Astyanax mexicanus: one gene and its partner. Each later gene encodes a partner of the first gene's protein in a complex. Links are inferred from orthologs where the notes say so. Each region holds a gene or a part of one and is shown in the gene's direction. Other genes may lie near its edges. The genes, in order: casc3 and rbm8a.

What was found.
Region 2: casc3 (region 1) and rbm8a share a complex: the UniProt entries of both Homo sapiens proteins name them as parts of the mRNA splicing-dependent exon junction complex. The link is inferred for Astyanax mexicanus from reciprocal best matches to the Homo sapiens genes CASC3 and RBM8A.

The regions. Positions count from the first base shown.
Region 1 is NC_064426.1:33,095,751-33,105,292, reverse strand, and holds the start of casc3 (protein CASC3), read left to right. Parts: upstream 1-5,538; 5' UTR 5,539-5,560; coding exon 5,561-5,746; intron 5,747-8,503; coding exon 8,504-8,531; intron 8,532-8,655; coding exon 8,656-8,711; intron 8,712-9,542. Other genes in the region: msl1a (male-specific lethal 1-like 1), read left to right, coding at 1-441, 783-979, 1,108-1,367, 1,751-1,815, 1,968-2,035, 2,124-2,248, 2,331-2,403, 2,534-2,624. UniProt on the Homo sapiens protein: Required for pre-mRNA splicing as component of the spliceosome. Core component of the splicing-dependent multiprotein exon junction complex (EJC) deposited at splice junctions on mRNAs.
Region 2 is NC_064408.1:115,218,671-115,228,233, forward strand, and holds the start of rbm8a (RNA-binding protein 8A), read left to right. Parts: upstream 1-5,935; 5' UTR 5,936-5,989; coding exon 5,990-6,056; intron 6,057-7,705; coding exon 7,706-7,765; intron 7,766-7,879; coding exon 7,880-7,957; intron 7,958-8,463; coding exon 8,464-8,600; intron 8,601-9,563.

The DNA.
Region 1 (9,542 bases):
AGTCACAGCACAGCAGGCAGACCTGGCCAGTCTCTGGCAGTGAGGAAAGGGCAAGAGGAGAACTGGGTGAACCTGGAGGATTTGATAGTTCCTCTGGCCAAGCAGATGGGGGCCGAGGGTACCCCAGTAAAAAGCAAATCACTGTTTGGACAGGCCAGTCACAACCACTTGGGCAGGATGGATCCAGTGGCATCAAACGGCAGCAAGCAGCCACGAAAGGCAGGGCCAGTGGGGGGAGTTGCAATAGCAGGAGTCCCCTCACCTGAACATGGCCCTGATGCAAAAAGCAGAAATATGATGAAGGGCATCGGCCATGCTGCCACACAGACTAGCTGCTTTCGTCAGATTCTTCTGTTGCAGCTAGAGCTGATTGAACAGCAACAGCAGCAGCTGCAGAATAAAAACAAAGAGATAGATGACCTCAAAGCTGAAAAGGAAATGGTAAGCAGAGGTTATTTGTCTATTGTGTACTAAACAAATTGTCTTTAGTATATTGAGACAGACACTACGCCACCTTCCCAACTGTGATACATTAATACATACCTGCTTGATCTTTGTATTTGGAGTCTAGATTTTATACAGTTTTATTTTCCTTCACACTTTTATGAGATTAAGTAAGTGGCTTAGGGCTGATAACTTGATTAAACGCACACAAATTAAGAGGAAGCATTTCTTTAATCAATTGTCATGTTTTGTACTTAAAAAAACAAACAAACTATGGCAAAGGCATCCTTCCACTGCTCTGGGCTATGCACACTTATTTATTAATTTCATTAATATAGTTGACTGCTCGCATTGAGCGAATGGAGCGGCGGCTACAGATGGTGAAGAAAGAAGGATCTGAGAATCGGCCGTCTCAGACTCCACGTCGCAAGGAAGTTGTTGAGGCCATCTCACCAGAAAGCACAGGGCAACCTGAGGGGCAGAGCCTGACACCTAGACCTATGACTTTAGGAAGGGGTGGCAAGGGCCTGAAAAGGTATTCAACATTTTATACGTAAAGCTTTAAATGTTTTTGTTTAAAAACATACTGCTTACTTATTTGTTGATTTGGCATGCATGAAAAATCAAACACAAACATGACTAAACTTTCTTTTGCTTTTTTAGAAGATTCCTTTTTCAAGAATCCGGGATGGCCAGGTCCAGACGAGGTCAGCCCAAAATGCCTTCTCCAAAGGAAGGCCAAGCTTTGAAGGAGGAGGCTCAAGAAGAAGAAAGTCCCGAATTTAAGTCACATGGTTCCTCCATTGTCCAATCAGAAGAACTGCCTTACCTGGCTACGACAGAAATGTATCTGTGCTGTTGGCACCAGCCGCCACCCTCACCTTGGAGAGAGCCATCTCCTGTGCAGGACGACACAGTTGCTGGTAAGTTTTGTCAGTTGTGCAAGCACTTTCAGTACCAATAGCCCACACACTTTTAGCACCAATAGCTCAAACTCTCTAGCTCATACATGGCATTAGGAACAGGGTCAAAAGTTTTGTGTTTATCTGCTTCAGAGATTCCTATTCTATTGGCAGTATATCTGTGCATGGACTATTTGCACATGTCAACAATGGGTGAAATTTAAAATAGCTGAATGTATTAATTACAAGGGGTGTCCACAAATATTTGTATATGTAATGTTTGTAGCGCTAAAGTTCTTTCAAATGTCAACAATGGTAACTTGTATCTAGAGAACAACAAAACTTTTAAACTAAATGTTGGTGATCTGGATTATTGACACTTTATACCTTCCTTTCCATTTTAGTCCCGTCTTGGCGAGAGAGCATTTTGGAACCCATGGAGGAGAAAAAAGCAACAGATATCCCTGAGGTCAGTAACAATTCAAAGAAAAGAGATTGATATGTTACACCATCTCCTGAAATGTATTACAGTGGCCTTTATTAGGAAAAAATACAAATGTAGTTTATCTATGTATGAAATCTTAAATCTGCACCCTAGAGTGACTTTATTATTTTATTCAGAGTCTAGATGACGGTGTCTTTTTGAAGCGGCATTCAAAACTGGAGTTGGATGAAAAGAGAAGGAAAAGGTAGAACTGATTAATATCCCTGCGGTTTCTTTGAACGGACTGCTTCTCTGTTTCTTTTCACAAGTCCCTAATTTCCTGTCTGTCTCAGGTGGGATATTCAGCGTATTAGGGAGCAGAGGATGTTCCAGAGACTCCAGCAGAGGATGGATAAGCGAAAAGTGATTCAGGAAAGTGAGCCAGAGCTACTTTCCTTCTACCCTGAAGCAGAGGATGGTATGTCACTAAAGTTTCAACAGTTAAACATAGAAAATTGGTGCATTTTTACCAAAATGTTCTTTTTTTTTTTTTGTTTCAGTGGAATCAATAATGATTACACCATACCTGCCAGTGGTGGCATTTGGCAGACCCCTGCCTAATCTTCAACAGCAGTACGTTTACTCATATTTCACATTTGTAACACAAGATTTCTTTCTTTTTTTTCTTCAAAATTTGTCCTATGTATGGTCTGTTCTGGAATCCTCTGCTTAAAATCATTCTCTTCATTTTTTCTTTGTACAGGAGTTTTGACATACCATGGCTGGATGAGCGCAGTCGCTGCCGACAAGAACTGTCCAAAAAGAAGACGCCCCATCGGACCTGCCGCAAGTGAAGCAGTCCTACAGGCGAAAAAAGACAGCGGCGCAGCCCACATGTTCCTTCTAAAGGAAATGCTGCTTCAGCTCTACTGTTTCGTGGCATGTCCTGTGTGCTACAAGATCATATTGGCAATATGCACTCACCTGGCATACCTGACTGCCTTGATTGCACTTTTGATCTTTAAGCAGACCAAGTCCATTTTTCTCCTCTGTTAAGTCTTCATTTGGTGATGGAACCACTTAACAGTCTAACTCCACAGTGGCAGAAAACCAAGCTTTCAGAAGTTCATGCTCATGGTTGTTTTAATATTGCAAAGTATAATGCTTGTGCCCTGGTTGCTTTTGCATCATCTCATACAAGTTTGCTTTCAGATGTACAGTATGGACCAAAACTCCCATCATATTGAGCTGAGAACAGAGAATGTCAAGATTTGTTGTTTTTGGTTTGCATTTCTGTTCATTGTAAGTGGATGGTATGAATCTAAGAAAACATGGCCTATCTTGTAAAATAGTGTTGATTCAAAGTATAAGTGTAAGATACTCTAAATGCATCTAAAGAGAATATTTCAAATATTAAAGAAGTTCACAATTTATTTGTTACTGTGTTTTTTTTTTGTTTGTGTTATCCACTCTAGTTTACTGTTTGTGTTACATTAGGTTGGAAAATACTTATGTAGTTAATCTAATTTTTTTTTTTTTTGCACTTAACTCAGTCATTGCACGTCATAAACAACAGCAATGGTAAGACTGAAAATGAGAAATAGTGTAGTAATCCAAAACATCCATTCAGACTCTTGAAAAAATGATTTGGACTGTATGGGGGTAATTTCATGAAAATTGGACATGGCTGTTTGAATGTAATCTGACAGACCTGTTTAGTTGTGCTTCCTTAATTTGAAATATAGATTCCAGCCTAAAGACCAAGGAAGTGTTGCCAATCTTCAGAAATCTTTCATGTGTGTGGATGATCATTACCCTGCTGAAAAATGCAAATGCAAAGACAAATATACATTTTTTTGGCTCCATAATTTGGCCTAGGGTAGAGACGTGGCTCTATTAGCGAAATGTAATTTAAACCAAAAGCTTGTGGATACAGCAGTACTACCTAAATGTGTTAGAATTATGCCGTTTTGCCAAATATTTATGGATTTCAACAAAACCTTGCACCACCTCTACAACCAACTGATGCTCTCAGGATGTTCAGTATATTTCACTTGGAACTTTATGACTTAAAATAAAGGACAGAGTGCTGTAAGGAACTTTGCACATGTTTTAAAGGGTCTGTGACATACTTCACCATGGGCTTTTTTGGGTTAATTAATCTCCACATATTTGGTATTTTATACCACACGTTCATAATTTTTGTCGACATAATTTAGGTCTTTGGAACAATGGCAATATGACAGTAAAAAAATATATATGTTATTTCTGTGCCCTTAAAAAGATTGTGATATTTATTATGTTGCTTATCTGTTGGATGATTCTGGGCATTTACTTTCTTTCCTATGAACTTAGTTTACCTTCTTATGGAGATTTAATAAAAAAAAATGGTCTTTTCTTATAAAACATAAAGAGTATAATGTTGTAGCTAAAGCTATTACTAAATGTTTATTAATGATGATGGAATCTCATATGCAATTTTACACCGTCTCCAAGTTTAAACCATTTGCTTTATATTAATGTTCGAGACTTCAAAAGTGAAACACAGTATTAGGGAAGGATTCTACAACAAAAGAAAAATTAGGCCACAAGGGATATCATATTGGAACTCTCATTTTACAGAGATCTCTTGGGGGAAAGCTTCATCACTACTTTATAAGTTTTGTATTTATAATAAAATCAGAGAATCAAGTACATTTAGAATTCACGTACATCTACCTATGTAATTATAATATTGCTACATTTATCAAAACAGTTAATTTTGCTCCAAACATACAAAAAAACTAGAACATTTATTTTTTTAATGTTCTTATTCAAAATATTTTTAGAAAGCTCTAGCCTTTTTTTGATAAGCAAATTAGAGGGTAGATATAAAATGTGACTGCTATTTTTGGTTTTATCTGTAAGGTCTCTACTGTCAACTTAACTTTAAATCTGATGATCCTCTTTGGCAAACACTCTAATATTTGGTTGGACCACCTGCTTTTGCTGTGGCATTTTTTCTTTAAGCTTCTGCAATGTCACAAGATTTATTTCAATCCAGTGTTGCATTAATTTTTAATCAAGATCTTGCAGCACTGATGGTAGAGTCTGACCACTGCACAAAGCCTTCTCCATCCAGCACATCCCAAAGATGCTCAATGGAGTTAAGGTCTGGACTCTGTGGTGGCCAATCCATGTGTAAAAATGATGATCTCATGCTCCCTGAATCACTCTTTCACAATTCCAGCCTCATGAATCCAGCCATTCTCATCTTGGAATATGCTCGTGCCATCAGGTAAGAAAAAATCCAGTGATGGAATAAGGTAGTCAGCTGACCTCATTCTTTCAGCACATACTGTTGCTGAAACCTAGACCTGACCAACTGCAGCATCAACCCCACATCATTTCCTTAGTTAAATCCAGGTGAAGATTTTTTTTTGCCAGTTAGTGTATTTCTTGATGGATTTAACTTGTTTATTAGCAGCAATAAAGCTGTGTCCACTGTAAATTACACTAAAGAGTTTAATTTGCCGGTTTATGAATGAGATGTGTTGTCAGTATAAATGTTTTGTTTAGCTTGAAAAACCTTTTTGGTTGTATGTTTAAATTACCTTGGATGTCTTTGTTTGTATTATATTGCTTTTGGAATTTAATAAAAGTATTTAAGCTCTATTTAAATGACTATGTTTCATTTATGAAGTTTCCTCAGCCCTGTTGCTTGGTAATAATGGGTGTAGAGGAAGTGACGCACTTCTTAACTCCCACATTGCCTTGCGCCTTTCCGCTCTCCCCTTCCTTGTGAGTTAAGATGGCGGACCGGCGACGACGAAGGCGGCGCGCTTCTCAGGACAGCGAAGAGGAGGAGGAGGAGGCTTCGGGCTCAGACAGCACCGGCTCCGCCTCACAAGCGGCCAAGACCCGGCCGAGGGTCCCGGAGCCTGTCGAGGCCCCGGCGGTTCGCAGCGCCCCAAAAAGCGATGTCGAGTCGGAGTGTGTAAGTATTGGCCGTCCAGCGGGGCTTCAGCGGCGGGCCGAGGGTCCGGCAGGGACTCAGCTAGCGGTCCGGCGGGGGGAGGGAGATAGGGGTTAATAGGAGAGGAATCGCGGGTTTTTTTTGGGAGGGACGGGTAGAGTCTGTAGAGTGTAGCGTTAGTGTGTAGTCTCTTTTTTTGGCTCACTGTTTTATTAGTCAACTCTGGTCAGAGGGACAGAGCAGGGTAGCTACATAACCCGCCAACACCTCCGGGATGGTGATGGTGATAGTTCTAGTGATGGTAATGGTGATTGTAACGGGAATGCATACATACGTGCTGTCCGTTAACCCTCTACTTCAGTTGTTCTCAAACATTGGTAACTAACATGAAGCACACCAAGGTGGTACACCACCAAATAAAGGTTTTAATGAATCAAAAACAAAAGATTATACAGCAAAATGCATGTGGGTACCACGTGATGTCCAAATGTCTAGCTCTTAAGAATTTGCCTGGTTTCATTGGAGACAATGACATGTTGTCACTATCATCTCATAAAAACATCTCATAATTTTCATGAAGAGAAATGTGATGAAAGTAATTTTGAAGCGTTTCTTTTATAATTTGGAGTTTACCTTTTAATAGCATTAGTGTTTCATGTCAACATCGATATAACACATTGCGTTATTTGTGAACATCGTTTACATGCTTACGAAGTTTTAGGTGGTACTTTGGGTTTGGCTTTGGTGGTACATGATCTAAAATGTTTGAGAAGCACTGCTCTAGCAAAAAAAAGGAAAAAAACAACATAATTTTTGTTATTAGTAGATTTTGTTGTGACAATGCTTCTTGGCAAGCCTGTTCATTTCCCTTAAAATTGTCACATTTGTAAGGAACATGCATTTCCAGGATGAGCAGCAGAGCTCAGCAGAGTATGTGGGTTGCCTTCATGAAAATTTTGTCAAATCTCCATCATTGCCAAACAGCGTATTCTGCTGTTACTACTGTTTCCTGTTTTCAGCTTCTGGTTCCCCCAGGTGTTGCCTTGGCATGAGCATGGGCCCTGGTACAGTGGTCAGTATATGTGTGCCTCAAGATTTGACATTCCTCAATTGACTAATCTGGATAGAAGGCCGAGAGGTAGCTTCACTTCAAGCTGGTGTGCTGCAAAGCCAAGTTACGGCATTATTCTGAGTGAGCCCTAGTACTGATATCTCCAAATTAAAGGCCACATTCCATATAGCTGACACTAAGTGGGCATCACAAGATGATCACACAGAAAGAAGATAGTCAACACCAAACGAGTCAATGGCACAATAAGCTGTTTGGCATTGGCATTGAGCATTTAGCATTTTCGTGAACACAACACACATTCTCTGCTCTGCTGCTCATCACACTAATGCATGTTTCTTAAAAATGTGGCACCATTTTAAAAGAGAAATAACAGGCTTTCCAACAGTATGGGACTTATTGCCAAGTCAGCAAAGAAATCGTCTACCAAACATGTATTTCCTTATTTTTTGTGCTACTTTTATTTGGTACTTGCACAGTAAATTATCGTTTCAGAATTGTCATTGATATCTAAGCATGGGCAAAGATGCGTCACATTGTTGATAATGTTTTTACAGCTTACTGCATTCAGTGTATGGATTTTACAAGACATTTGAAAGTGTCCTGTGTTTGCGATTAGGCACCAAGAACAACTTTAGCAGTAGGTCCTTTAAATCTTGTAAGTTAGGTAAAGTAAAGGGTGAGTGAGGTGGTGCCTCCATGAGCATCACTGAGCCGTAGGAGTACCTGACCATGTTGCTGATTCATTGGTTGGCCTGTTTTGTACTACAAAAGACCCGCCTGATGTTGTGGAGATATTATGGGCTGTCGTTTATTAGGCAGCAAACATTGGATTATTGATGATTTACACTCAATTTATCTCCATTTATCTCCATCAGTATAAGTTATTTTGCTTCAGTCTTTAATACACACAGAAGGCATTAGTAATATTATGACATTGGACCACTTTTAATACTGCAGTATTAATTACAGAGCAAGAAAACATCACTGTCAGTTTTTCTTAATATTGCTTCTTGAGTCACAATGAGGAGGCATTGACACATTTTCTGATTAAAGTGTGTGTAAGAAATTGGTGTGCTTTCTGCTTACAAGGAAAGTTACACAAAGTTATGTGTAGATGATCAAGTCTGGTTGGTAAGGCTTTGATATCTCTAGACATGGGATTTTTAGTTTTTTTTTGTGTCTTGGCTACACACAAAGCCCCCAGACAACATGCTTTTGTTGTCTGAGGTAACCGAACTGGGAACCAGCAAGTTTTTGTATATAGGTTTCATGGTGGGGCCTCACATATGGATGCCCAGTATGGTTTAGTATAGGATCAGGGGGAGTTAACCATCAATTTATTCTGAGTTGTACACTCACATGGGGCCTGGGCACATAAAGGAAGCCCAATGCATGGACAAACAAATTTTGTCCACCTGGAAGCCACCTAGCATATGACCTACGCATGTTAGCCCAGTATCAACATGTTGCCAGGTTTAAAAGCCATATTTTTTTTCACTTTCTGTTTGGGTGGATTACTAAATGGATGTGTGTTTCCTTTGTGAACCTTATCAGGTGACAGAGGTTTGGCTTATAGAATAAGGAACTTGATGTTTTTGTTTATACAGTTTTAAAGAGAAAGGAATTAAGTGGTTTCACAAACACTGTACAGCTCTGACCACCAACCACAAGTCTGACTTTAACTATATTTTTTTGTTCCTTTGTAGGAAAGTGAAGATGGTGGTGTAGGTGAAGGTGAGTTTCTCTTTGTGCTTTTACTTAAAAGTACTGACACTAATGATGGGCTTTATCATACACGGTTCCTATGTGATTGATGTAGATCACTGATTCACCACTTTTTTCGTTTTTGTTCTTGCAGCTGTCCTTTCAGACTACGACAGTGCGGATCCTGAGGAGAATGGTTCTCACTCAGAGGTGAGTCACCATAGCAACACAGACTGGAGGACTGGTGAGAAAATCTGTCCCCAAACTGGCTCCAGTACATGATGGATGCTGTGCATTAAGTGTTCGTTGGTTGCGGCTTATTGGTGTACATTTGAGTAGCTTGTTTTGGTTATGTTGCCTTTTGTCCAATTGTGTTGTTTATGGCAAGAAGTTTTAAAGAAGTTATCTCTGTTCAGTATTTAGTAGGGTTGGAAGCTGAGCTGATGTTCACTTGCTGTTTATATTAGTAATGAGTTGGAGCCAATAGGAATGTCTGTATCAAAGGCTACGTTCACATTACACCTCTTGTTTAATCATTTTAGATTGTTTTTCTCAGTTAGTGTTCGGTTTATTTGATGATCTACATTTATAAGTAGTTTGTAAGTGTAAATGACCTAAAGTGAGCAAATCTGTGCCTGAAGTAGGATGTACACATAAAATTATAAAGCACTTTTACAACAGCTTTACAGAAATGTTAGCAGGACAGAGAATCAGTCAAAACATTTAACATACAACATAGAAAACTTTTACCTTGAGAAGGAAACTCACATTTACTTTTTTCTATCAAATGTATTAGAAAGGCTAATATATGAGGGGTATCCATCCTCCTCTGGTCAGACAGCTTATAAATTAATTTTTAAAAGGTAAAAAAATGTTTGTGGACATGTTTTGTGAAAATCTTATTCAGACATGATTTGTCTACATGGCCCCTGGAAAAAATCACATCTATTATTCAGTTTAATTTTTGCAATGCCTTTATGTCTAGTCCAATACTCGAGTACAGTGTAGTGGTGCACTATTATGGTGACCCATTGGCTGTTG
Region 2 (9,563 bases), on another chromosome or scaffold:
CTGTAAGTTTTTAGTAAGAGTGTGTAGTTAAGCCTTAAGCATGCTAAAAAAAAAAGTATTTTTAAAACATGCATTGTGGTGCAGGCACCTTTCAGTGTAAATAAAGCTGGTGATTTTATTTATTAAAGGAACTAAAACTAAAACTGTCCAAACCAAACTAGCCCAAACTATGTACTAATATGTGAAATGTGTGAAATATTTGTGTAAATATAAACAAAGTAGTATATACCCTATACTTTGTATGAAATATTATTAGTGTAGCATAATGAAAAATTAATTAATAAAAAAAGTAAATGCAGCAAATAGCAAAACACATACAACATAGACTGCTTTTAATAAAAATCATGGTATCCCAATATCTATATTTTCTGGCTGATATTCTTAAACAATATGTTGAAAAAAATCTAACTTCATTATAAATATTTTAATATAATATAAAAACATCTGAGAAAGAAAATGCCTAAATTAAAGACTAAAACAGTTAGTATTACATTAATAGCTTAAGATCCGTTTTTTTTTTTAAGTTATATTTACTTATTAATTTGTACACTAAGTACACTCCTGGTAAAATAAGCAAACAAAATCCCAAACATTACATTAATTGCAACTGTTTAAAAGGTTTACAAGTCATTTCTAAAGCTTTGGGACTCCAGCAGACCGCAGTGAGAGCTATTATTCACAAATGGAGGAAACATGAAACACTGGTGAACCTTCCCAGGAGTGACCGGCTGACTGAAATTACTCCAAAAGGGCATGGACAAAATAATATTTTATTATTATTTTATCTTTATTTTACTTTATCTTTATATTTACCTGTTTTAACAATTGCTCATTTGGGTGGAACTGGATTGTGGGAATACAGTTTTGTTCCAACTCATGTACAGCATGTGATGTGAAATGACGTTACAGTTTTTTGACCTTTTTTTATTTAATTTGACTGGCTTTAATTTATGTATTTTCTTTCTTTGTCACGTTTTGGTTTGTTTTCAATCCCTCTGCACTTTATCAACATGCTTTTTATTGCTGAATTACGTTGATAATGATTATGTGTGCTGATGAAACCTGTGGCACAGTGACTACACAGCAGTTACATGTTAGTTTACTGTTCAGCAGGTCGAAGTCTGGTCTTGCCAACACGACTGTGGTTATATCAGCCGCTGATTGGCTTTATCTGCAGGTCGTGCTGGTGATACACGCTGACTAACGTTCAGCTGAAGTCCACTTTCAGTTTGATAAAAGGTCATGACCACACACTGACCTGTATCTTGGTTTTTTTGTCTGTTAGAGGATACAGTATTTTACCTGCTCATACTCAGTCTGATTTGGTAAGGGGTATCAAACTCATTTACATATATACATTTATTTCATTTTTAATTAATATTTTTTCAACAATACTTAAAAATCTAATTTATAAACCCTTTATAAACCCTTTATAAGGGTAGTCTTATTTTAAAGTGGTTTTAAAATAAGACTACCCTTATAAAGGGTTTATAAAGGGTTTATAAATTAGATTTTTAAGTATTGTTGATTAGGTTGTGAATGCCTTAAAACCTTTGATAAGCAGTTACAACACATTAATTAAAAAGGCAACAGTGATCCTTTGTTTGTTTAGTCATTTGACTTAACTGAGTCATTTCATTTATAGTAAATAGTTAAACATACTTACAAATATATAATATATAATATGACAAGTTTAATGCTGATTGATGGAAAACACAAAGTAAGATCAGTATCTAGAAATATATGAGGTTTGACAGTAGAAATGAGTGTTTGCCATTTTTTTAACTTAGTACTGTTATTTATTTATTAACTGCTTATTAATGAGTTTTAAAGTTTGTAGCCTAATTAATAACCATTAATAATCTCCTTTATAGACCATTCTTAACCCCTTTATAAAGGTAGTGTTATTTTAAAGTGGTACCACATTTTGCTATATAAGCATAGATGTCCATTGTGTATTATAAATATACAGTGAAAAAATAATAATAATTTGATCCCTTGCTGATTTTGTAAGTTTACCCACTGCCGTTGTTTTGTAAGAGCAAAAGACAAAATATATGATAAGGTGGACAGACAAGTAGAGCACAATAGACAATAAATACAGTACAATGTGCAAATTCTGCATTAATTAATACTTAATCTAATTTATCTGCTGTAACGTAGATTACTGTAGACAAAACTGCTGCCTGTTTTAATACCAGTTTCAACAAGTCCTCGTCTTCATCACTTAGCCTCACTTTTTTTTTCATCCTCAGGGGAATCCTACGTGGCTAATAACAATGCAAAACAACGGCATCATATGTTTTATGTATAGTATGTGCAAAAGTTGCAAAGAAATGCTACATTGGAAAGTTTGCACAGCTAATAGATCAATAACAGCACATTATTAATAATAGTGTGATTAACTAGCAAGTTACGCAACAGTTTGACTACAACTCTTCTGCTTTATATAACGCAAATAGTCTCAATCACTTAATTCCTAAATTCTGGTTTATACTTCTCTGTGAAGTCATCACACTGTCTATGGCAGGGGTGTCCAATTTTTTTTTCTTGGGGGCCAGAAGGAAAAATAAATGTGCAGTCACGGGCCACAGACTCTGTAATAAAACAAATAATGAAATATACCACTTATAATAATACATTTTCTTGATAACTATCATTTACACATTATTTTACTTGAGTTACTATCTTTACCTGTCATTGAGAGTGTTGTGTAAACTAAGATTTTCAAATCGATGTTTCATTTCATAATGTCTATTACTGATTCCTGACATATTAAACATACACACCTCCCTCTGAGCTCAGTTAAAAAACAGTCATTTTCCCAACGTGCCTGAAATTTTCTGCATTTGCTGTCTATTTTCCATTTCTTTGGAGCTGCCATGTTCTCCCAAAAGCTCAGGAACAATATTGTAGATATAATGAAGTGAGAAAAGGAGGTGAGGAGCGTTTTAGATTGAGTTTATGTGATAGCAACACCCAGCGTTCAAACTTTGAATCTCACATTATAAAAACCTGCTTAATAGCGGGCCTACTTTCAGTTTATTTTCAAAATATCTTGCGGGCCACTCCAAAAAAGGAAACGGGCCAAAAATGGCCCACAGGCCATAGTTTGGACACTCCTGGTCTATGGCATAACCTGTGGGTGTTTATACTTCTACATTTGTGTGTTTGTGGCTCTTCGTCGCTCCACATGTTTAAACCACAAAGACAGCTGCTGCTGTCTGTGTCACATGACGCGTAGTTACTAGGGCTGTCAACGGTAATGCTATGATTTCCTGTTACTTTTAGTCCTGTTACTCATAACAAAAAATAACAGGAGTGAGTGCCAGTAACAGGACTGAGTTTAAGTAACAGGAGTGGTTTTCATTTGGAAGAGTTACAACAAGCAAATGGCACCCATTTAGTGGAATGGCCCTTAAACAGTTATTGTTTGAGACTAATTTCATGATGCAAATATATATTATAGTCTGGAGACACTGAATACACATTAAGAACAGGCAGATAGAGAATAGAAATGTTAAAAAGTGAAGTGCTGTTTTAATTTTAGCAGGTAAAAAAGCAGGTGTTCAGTATAATCAAAATCTGTCCTAGTCCTTCGTTTTTTGGTGCCACATTTGTTGTTACGCTCACTTTTCCTCAACTGTGCTGCCTAAGATGTTGTGAAAGCCCTGTCGTTGTGATGGTTGTTGTATTGTACATATTGCACTACTGAGCTGCGGAGATGTCAGAGGCCTGGGCAGCCCTGTTTTTCTCTTTCTTTCTGCCTTTTTCTGTCATGTGTGAACCCCCATAGAGGCCGGCAGAATGGCCGAATTCACATTTAAAAACAGCACTTGTGCTCCTTCCAGTGGCGTCATCAAAGCCAATCCCAGTTCAATGGCTCAGTCAATTGGCCCGATGGGAGGCAGCGCATTTTCTAAAATGACCTTCTTCTGGGCGATTTGAGCACTCCAGCTCCCAGCATGAGCCGAAGTATTGAAACTAACATTGAGGAGATAATTGGGGCAAAATCTGAAAAAAAAAAACTTGCTTAGCAACGCAGCAAGCGAGAGAGACAGAGTGGGGTTAGAGGAAACAGTGAACTGAATGCAACTGAAGCAAGGGTGGCCATATATAGACCATATACGTATAGGATACAGGCTGCTATTTAAGATTATTAGATCACGATGAGGGGAATTTTATTGTATGCAGACACATAGTAGCAGGGTAGCTACTGTAAATATATATTTATATATTTATATATAAATATAAATGTTACTTGGGTCCTGCACTGACCTGTGTTATATGTGTTTGTGAGATCTATATAAACAAAGATAAGCGATAAAGGTATTTTTCTTGCAGTTTCTATCTCGTGTGCCTTATTTTTTGCACTATAGGGCGCACCGGATTATAGGGTGCACTTTCAATAAATGTCCAGTAAACATCTATTTCCATACATAAAGACACTACTAACTAGTAACTAGTAGAAACAGGGATATCGTCATGTTTTCCTTCTACATTCAGCAGGTAAAGCTATGCTAAGTAAACTAAAATGTAATTCTTAAAAAAAGCATTTTAGACTAGTCAGACAAGCAAACGAGTGCTGGATGTTCATCTACAGAGATTTCTTTCCTGAAAACTGTTTATTTGGGTGAGTAAAGTGCTTCTATTTATTAACAGTAAGCCTAGATTTCCAGATTTCCTCTAAAGCTGGAGCATTAGCAATAACGGCTAACCACTAGCAGTTAGCGGCTAATTCCACCAGACAATGCTACACTGAGGAACCCTGAGATTTCCTGTAAGCCGGGGCGATATTAGCTAACAGTCTGTCCCATGTTGCTTGTTCTAACACGGTAAACGTGCAGGCTACAGTCTGATATACTCGCCTCTAAACGGAGAAAGAGCTAGCGCTGTGGTTAGCAGCTAATGCTAATGCTGCTCCAGCAGTGCTAGCCAGAAAATGATCAACCCAAAAAGAATAGGGAAATTCACAATAAACAAAACAAGTGCTCAATGGTTTCAGTAGCTCCTTAAAAATATAACAGCATCACCCATATGAAAAAATGTATACAAAGCTCAAAATAGCATTTAATTGGTAGCACCTTAATAATGTTATAAGGCAGCTCTTTTGTTATTATGTTTTAATAATATTTGCATGAGTAAGACTCCAGATTTTTTTTCAATTGGTTGAACTGATAAAACTGTACCCTGATAGCAAAGAAGTGTGAAATGAATTGACATAATTTTTTGTTGCATCACATATTTAAAGGTTGATGATTTAAACTTTAAACTAAAGCTTGTCTTTTTAATTGACTTACTTGCACTTAAGGCAGTCAATCAAAGTCTGATGGAAACAATTGTAGGACATTATCACATATTATATAATATAAACTAAAATAAAATCAAAACCAAAAAACTATAGAATGCAAATAAATTTGAAAAGTTTTTAAATTGAAATGGAATTCTATGTAATTTCTTATTTTTAATCTGTCGCAAATTTACTAAAATACATCTATATAGTTATTTAGTTCCGTATATATACAAATGTTTGGTATACTTTTTTTTTGGTTAGCAAATTTCATCATATGTATATAGTATAGTATTATGTAAAATTATAATCAAATCTATTATTTTTTGAATTTGCGGTTAAATAAGAGGTAATCACAAATAAACAAAATGTATTGGTCTATAATGGGATTATCATTACTTCAATCCAAAAATGACAAGAAAATATACAATTTAACAAAGCTTGTCTGTAAAAAATGATCATTTTATAGGTAGGTAGTTTAGTAAGGAAGAAACTTTGTGAACTGAATGAAATAATTTTTAATAATTATTTTAATCCAGCTATTTTTAATAGTTTTTTCCAGAGGCGGCTGTACCTGCTGGAAGCCGGTAGGCGGCGCTGCCCGGGTTCGCCTCTCCTTTCTCGCTTTAACTGCGTCACCGGCGCGCATAGAGAAGAGCGCACTGCGCATGCGCATCACTGCTCACACGAACAGGCATCATGGCGGACGTGCTGGATCTTCATGAAGCGGGAGGAGAAGACTTTCCTATGGATGAGGATGGTGATGGTGCGTCTTTACTGCGGGTTTAACCCGCTGTTTAAACCGTGTGTGGTGTACTGTAGCTGTTCTGTAGCTGTGCGGGCGGGTAGTTTCTGTTATTTTGTCCGGACTGAGCGGTAAAGCTCGGTTGAGGCCTGGTCCGCCCGCCCTCGCCGCGACTAGCACGAGCTAAACCCGAACAAACAGACCCGGTTTAACCCGTTTACTCTCAGTTTAGCTTATTATCTTTATCTTATGTCGGGGTTTCCTATTAGTCTGCGTTATTTAGTTGAGGTATTTAAGAAAATATTCAGTAGTTTTCCAGTAGCTCCAGCTTTCTGTATTTTCTCTGTTAGTCTTCCAGTAACGAACACTCACACACTTAATAGAGACAAAAAGTTTGTGTAGTTCCACCTTAAATGATGCTGAATAGCCGCGCTGTTTAAGGTGGAATGGAAATATTCAGTAGTTGTCCAGTAGTTCCTCCAGCTTTCTATATTTTCTCTATTAGTGTTCCAGTAACGAACACTCACACACTTACTAGAGACAAAACGCTTGTTTAGTTCCACCTTAAATGATGCTGAATAGCCGCGCTGTTTAAGGTGGAATGGAAATAGTCAGTAGTTGTCCGGAAGCTCCAGCGTCATATTCACTCTTTTAGTGTTCCAGTAATGCCTACTTATTTTGCTTTGAGACAAAAAAAATCCTTCCACCTTAAATGCTGTTATGAAGCCAAACTATTTAAGGTGGAATGGAACATACCTAGTCGTTGTCCAGTAGCTCCAGCGTTCTTTATTTCTAAATATATTAGGAGACCAAGCTTTTCTGTTTACTCCAGTGTTTAGTTCTACCTTCAAGGGTGCTACAGCGGCTGCACTATTTAAGGTGGAATGAAGATATTCAGTACCTGTCCCGTAGCTCCAGCCTGTATTCCCGTGTTTTTTATACCGTAAATTTGTAATTTACCTACTTTGCCTAGAAAAAACAAACTTCTGTTTATTCTAGTGTTTAGTTCCACCTTAAATGGTGCTATCAGCCAAACTATTTAAGGTAGAATGGAAAATATGCAGGGGTTATTCAGTAGATCCTATATTGTTAGAGTGTATTAGTAGACGAAGCTTGCCTTTGTATTGCATTGTTTAGTTCCACTCTAATTGGTGCTGCAGCAGCTGCGCTATTTAAGGTGAAATTAAATAAATCCAGTAGCTTCTTGCTTCAGCTTCTTGTATTGTCTGAGCGTATTAGCTAGCTAGTCTAATGACTAGATTTAGCTAACCTATTGAGTTTGCTTGGGGACATAAATATTTGTCTATTTATTGCACTCTAGTTCCACATTAAATTAGCTGCACTGTTTAAGGTGGAATGAGATCAATCCGCTAGCTTCTGCTCTCAGTATTGTCTGAGTGTATTGGCGAGAGTTCCAGTAATGACTGCAGTTATTGTTAGAGTTTGCTTGGAAGCAAAGTTTTTTTTTTTTTTTTTTTTTTTTTGTTAATTGATGTTCTTCTGTATCAGCATCACTATTTAAGGTGGAATGGAAATATTCTGTAGTTGTCCATTAGCTCCAGCTTCATGTATTCTCTTTGCCTAGAGGCAAAAAACTCTACCTAAAATGGTGCTGATCAAATGCGTTATTTATAGTGGAATACATCTGTGTATTTTATTTTTTTTTGCAGAGAGCATCCACAAGCTAAAGGAGAAGGCAAAGAAGAGGAAGGGTCGTGGATTTGGATCTGGTAAGTAATATTGATTTTTGTGCAAAATAAAAAGTTTTCTCTCTTTATGGTTATAACACTAATATATTTCTTTTGACTGTACTCTGTAACTAAATATTTGTGTTTTAACACCAGAGGAAGGAGCGAGGTCCCGAGTGAGAGAAGACTATGATACAGTGGAACAAGATGGTGATGAGCCTGGCCCACAAAGATGTGAGTTATCAGATTGGATATTGGAAAGAATTGGCATGATGTTAATTGTTCTTAATACTGGTATTAGTCTTTAATACTGTTACCCCTCTCTAACCACCTAATAGGGCTGCAAACCTCAGCACCATCAAAGTGATTTTATAATGTTATAAATGTTTTCCAACATGTTTTAAGTATTAATGTTCCTCACTAAAGATATTCTTATAAATTAATCAAGCAGTTTACAACCTCATAAAATGAAATGTACATTTACACAAGTCATATTCTTTCCAGTATATTATATTATATTATGCGAAAAATGTTTGCACACTTTTCCCCCTTTTACACTAAATGTAGTGGACTCTAAACTACCTAAATGAATGAAAATGTTAAAAGAATGTGATTGAGGTGGTTTAAAGTGTGTGGAGCTTGAAGCCAGTCTGATTTACCCCATATTTCAGTAAATTGAGTGTTTTACGCAATTAAAGAAAAGCATCATTCTATTATTTTTGTTCACGCTGTATTTTCAGCTGTTGAAGGATGGATCCTGTTTGTGACTGGCGTTCATGAGGAGGCAACGGAAGAAGATATCCATGACAAATTTTCTGAATTTGGAGAAATCAAGAACCTGCATCTCAACTTGGACAGAAGAACGGGTTACCTTAAGGCAAGTCTGCAGCATTCCACCTTCAAACAATTTCTATATTTGCGTGCCACACAAATTAGGCGATATACTTCACATCAACGCAATTTTGCTATGAACATTGTCCATGTCAGATAAACACTCCCAAAAATCTGTAAAATTTTAGATTTACTGGAATTAAGAAATCCTTTACATTTCATGGAAAATCTATGTAAGAAATTGTATTTTAAGCCAGTTTGCTTCATTTCTATTGGTCATGAAAAAACAGCATTAAGAAACAATCAGCTACTTTTCACTATATTTACTTAATGTACACCTTCTGTTTAGACATACTATAATTGTTATTAAGCTATCTTTTCCTTACTTTCCCTAGAGCTAACACTAGTCATACGTTACTAAAACTGATACTAAAAAAAAAAAAAAAAAAAAGAATACAGAGAAACTACAAAACACAGTAATCTGCCTTGGTTTGGAAACCAAGTTTGGCCTCCCTAAGTGTAAAGCTGTGAATCCATGGGTTTGTCTTCTTACTAGAGGGATTTGTTGGGAATAATGTGTTCAGGCGACCACTAAGTGGCAGTATTTTATAAGAACAAACAGAGGCTTTCTTTTACTTAAGGTATTGAAGATGCATTGGGTGTATTTCCACATCTACTGTGTTTTACTGACGCACTTGAAATACTTAAATATTTGATTTTGATATTTATTTATTTATTTATTTTTATTTAAGTTATAAATGCTCAGCTGCATGAAAAATGGACAATACCCAAGTAAAAATAAAGTTTGATTGAGTGACACTAAACCTAAGAGAGTTATATCCACCCAAGGACTTGGTGTAGAATAAGAAATCAAACCTCTGGGGAAGGCAGTAGGAACCCACTACACTACCTCAGGGAGCCACATTTCTCTTCCAGCTTGTTGTAGATTTTGCCTCAAAGTATTAAAATAATATTGTATAATGTTAATTTAAATAATTTCAAAACATTA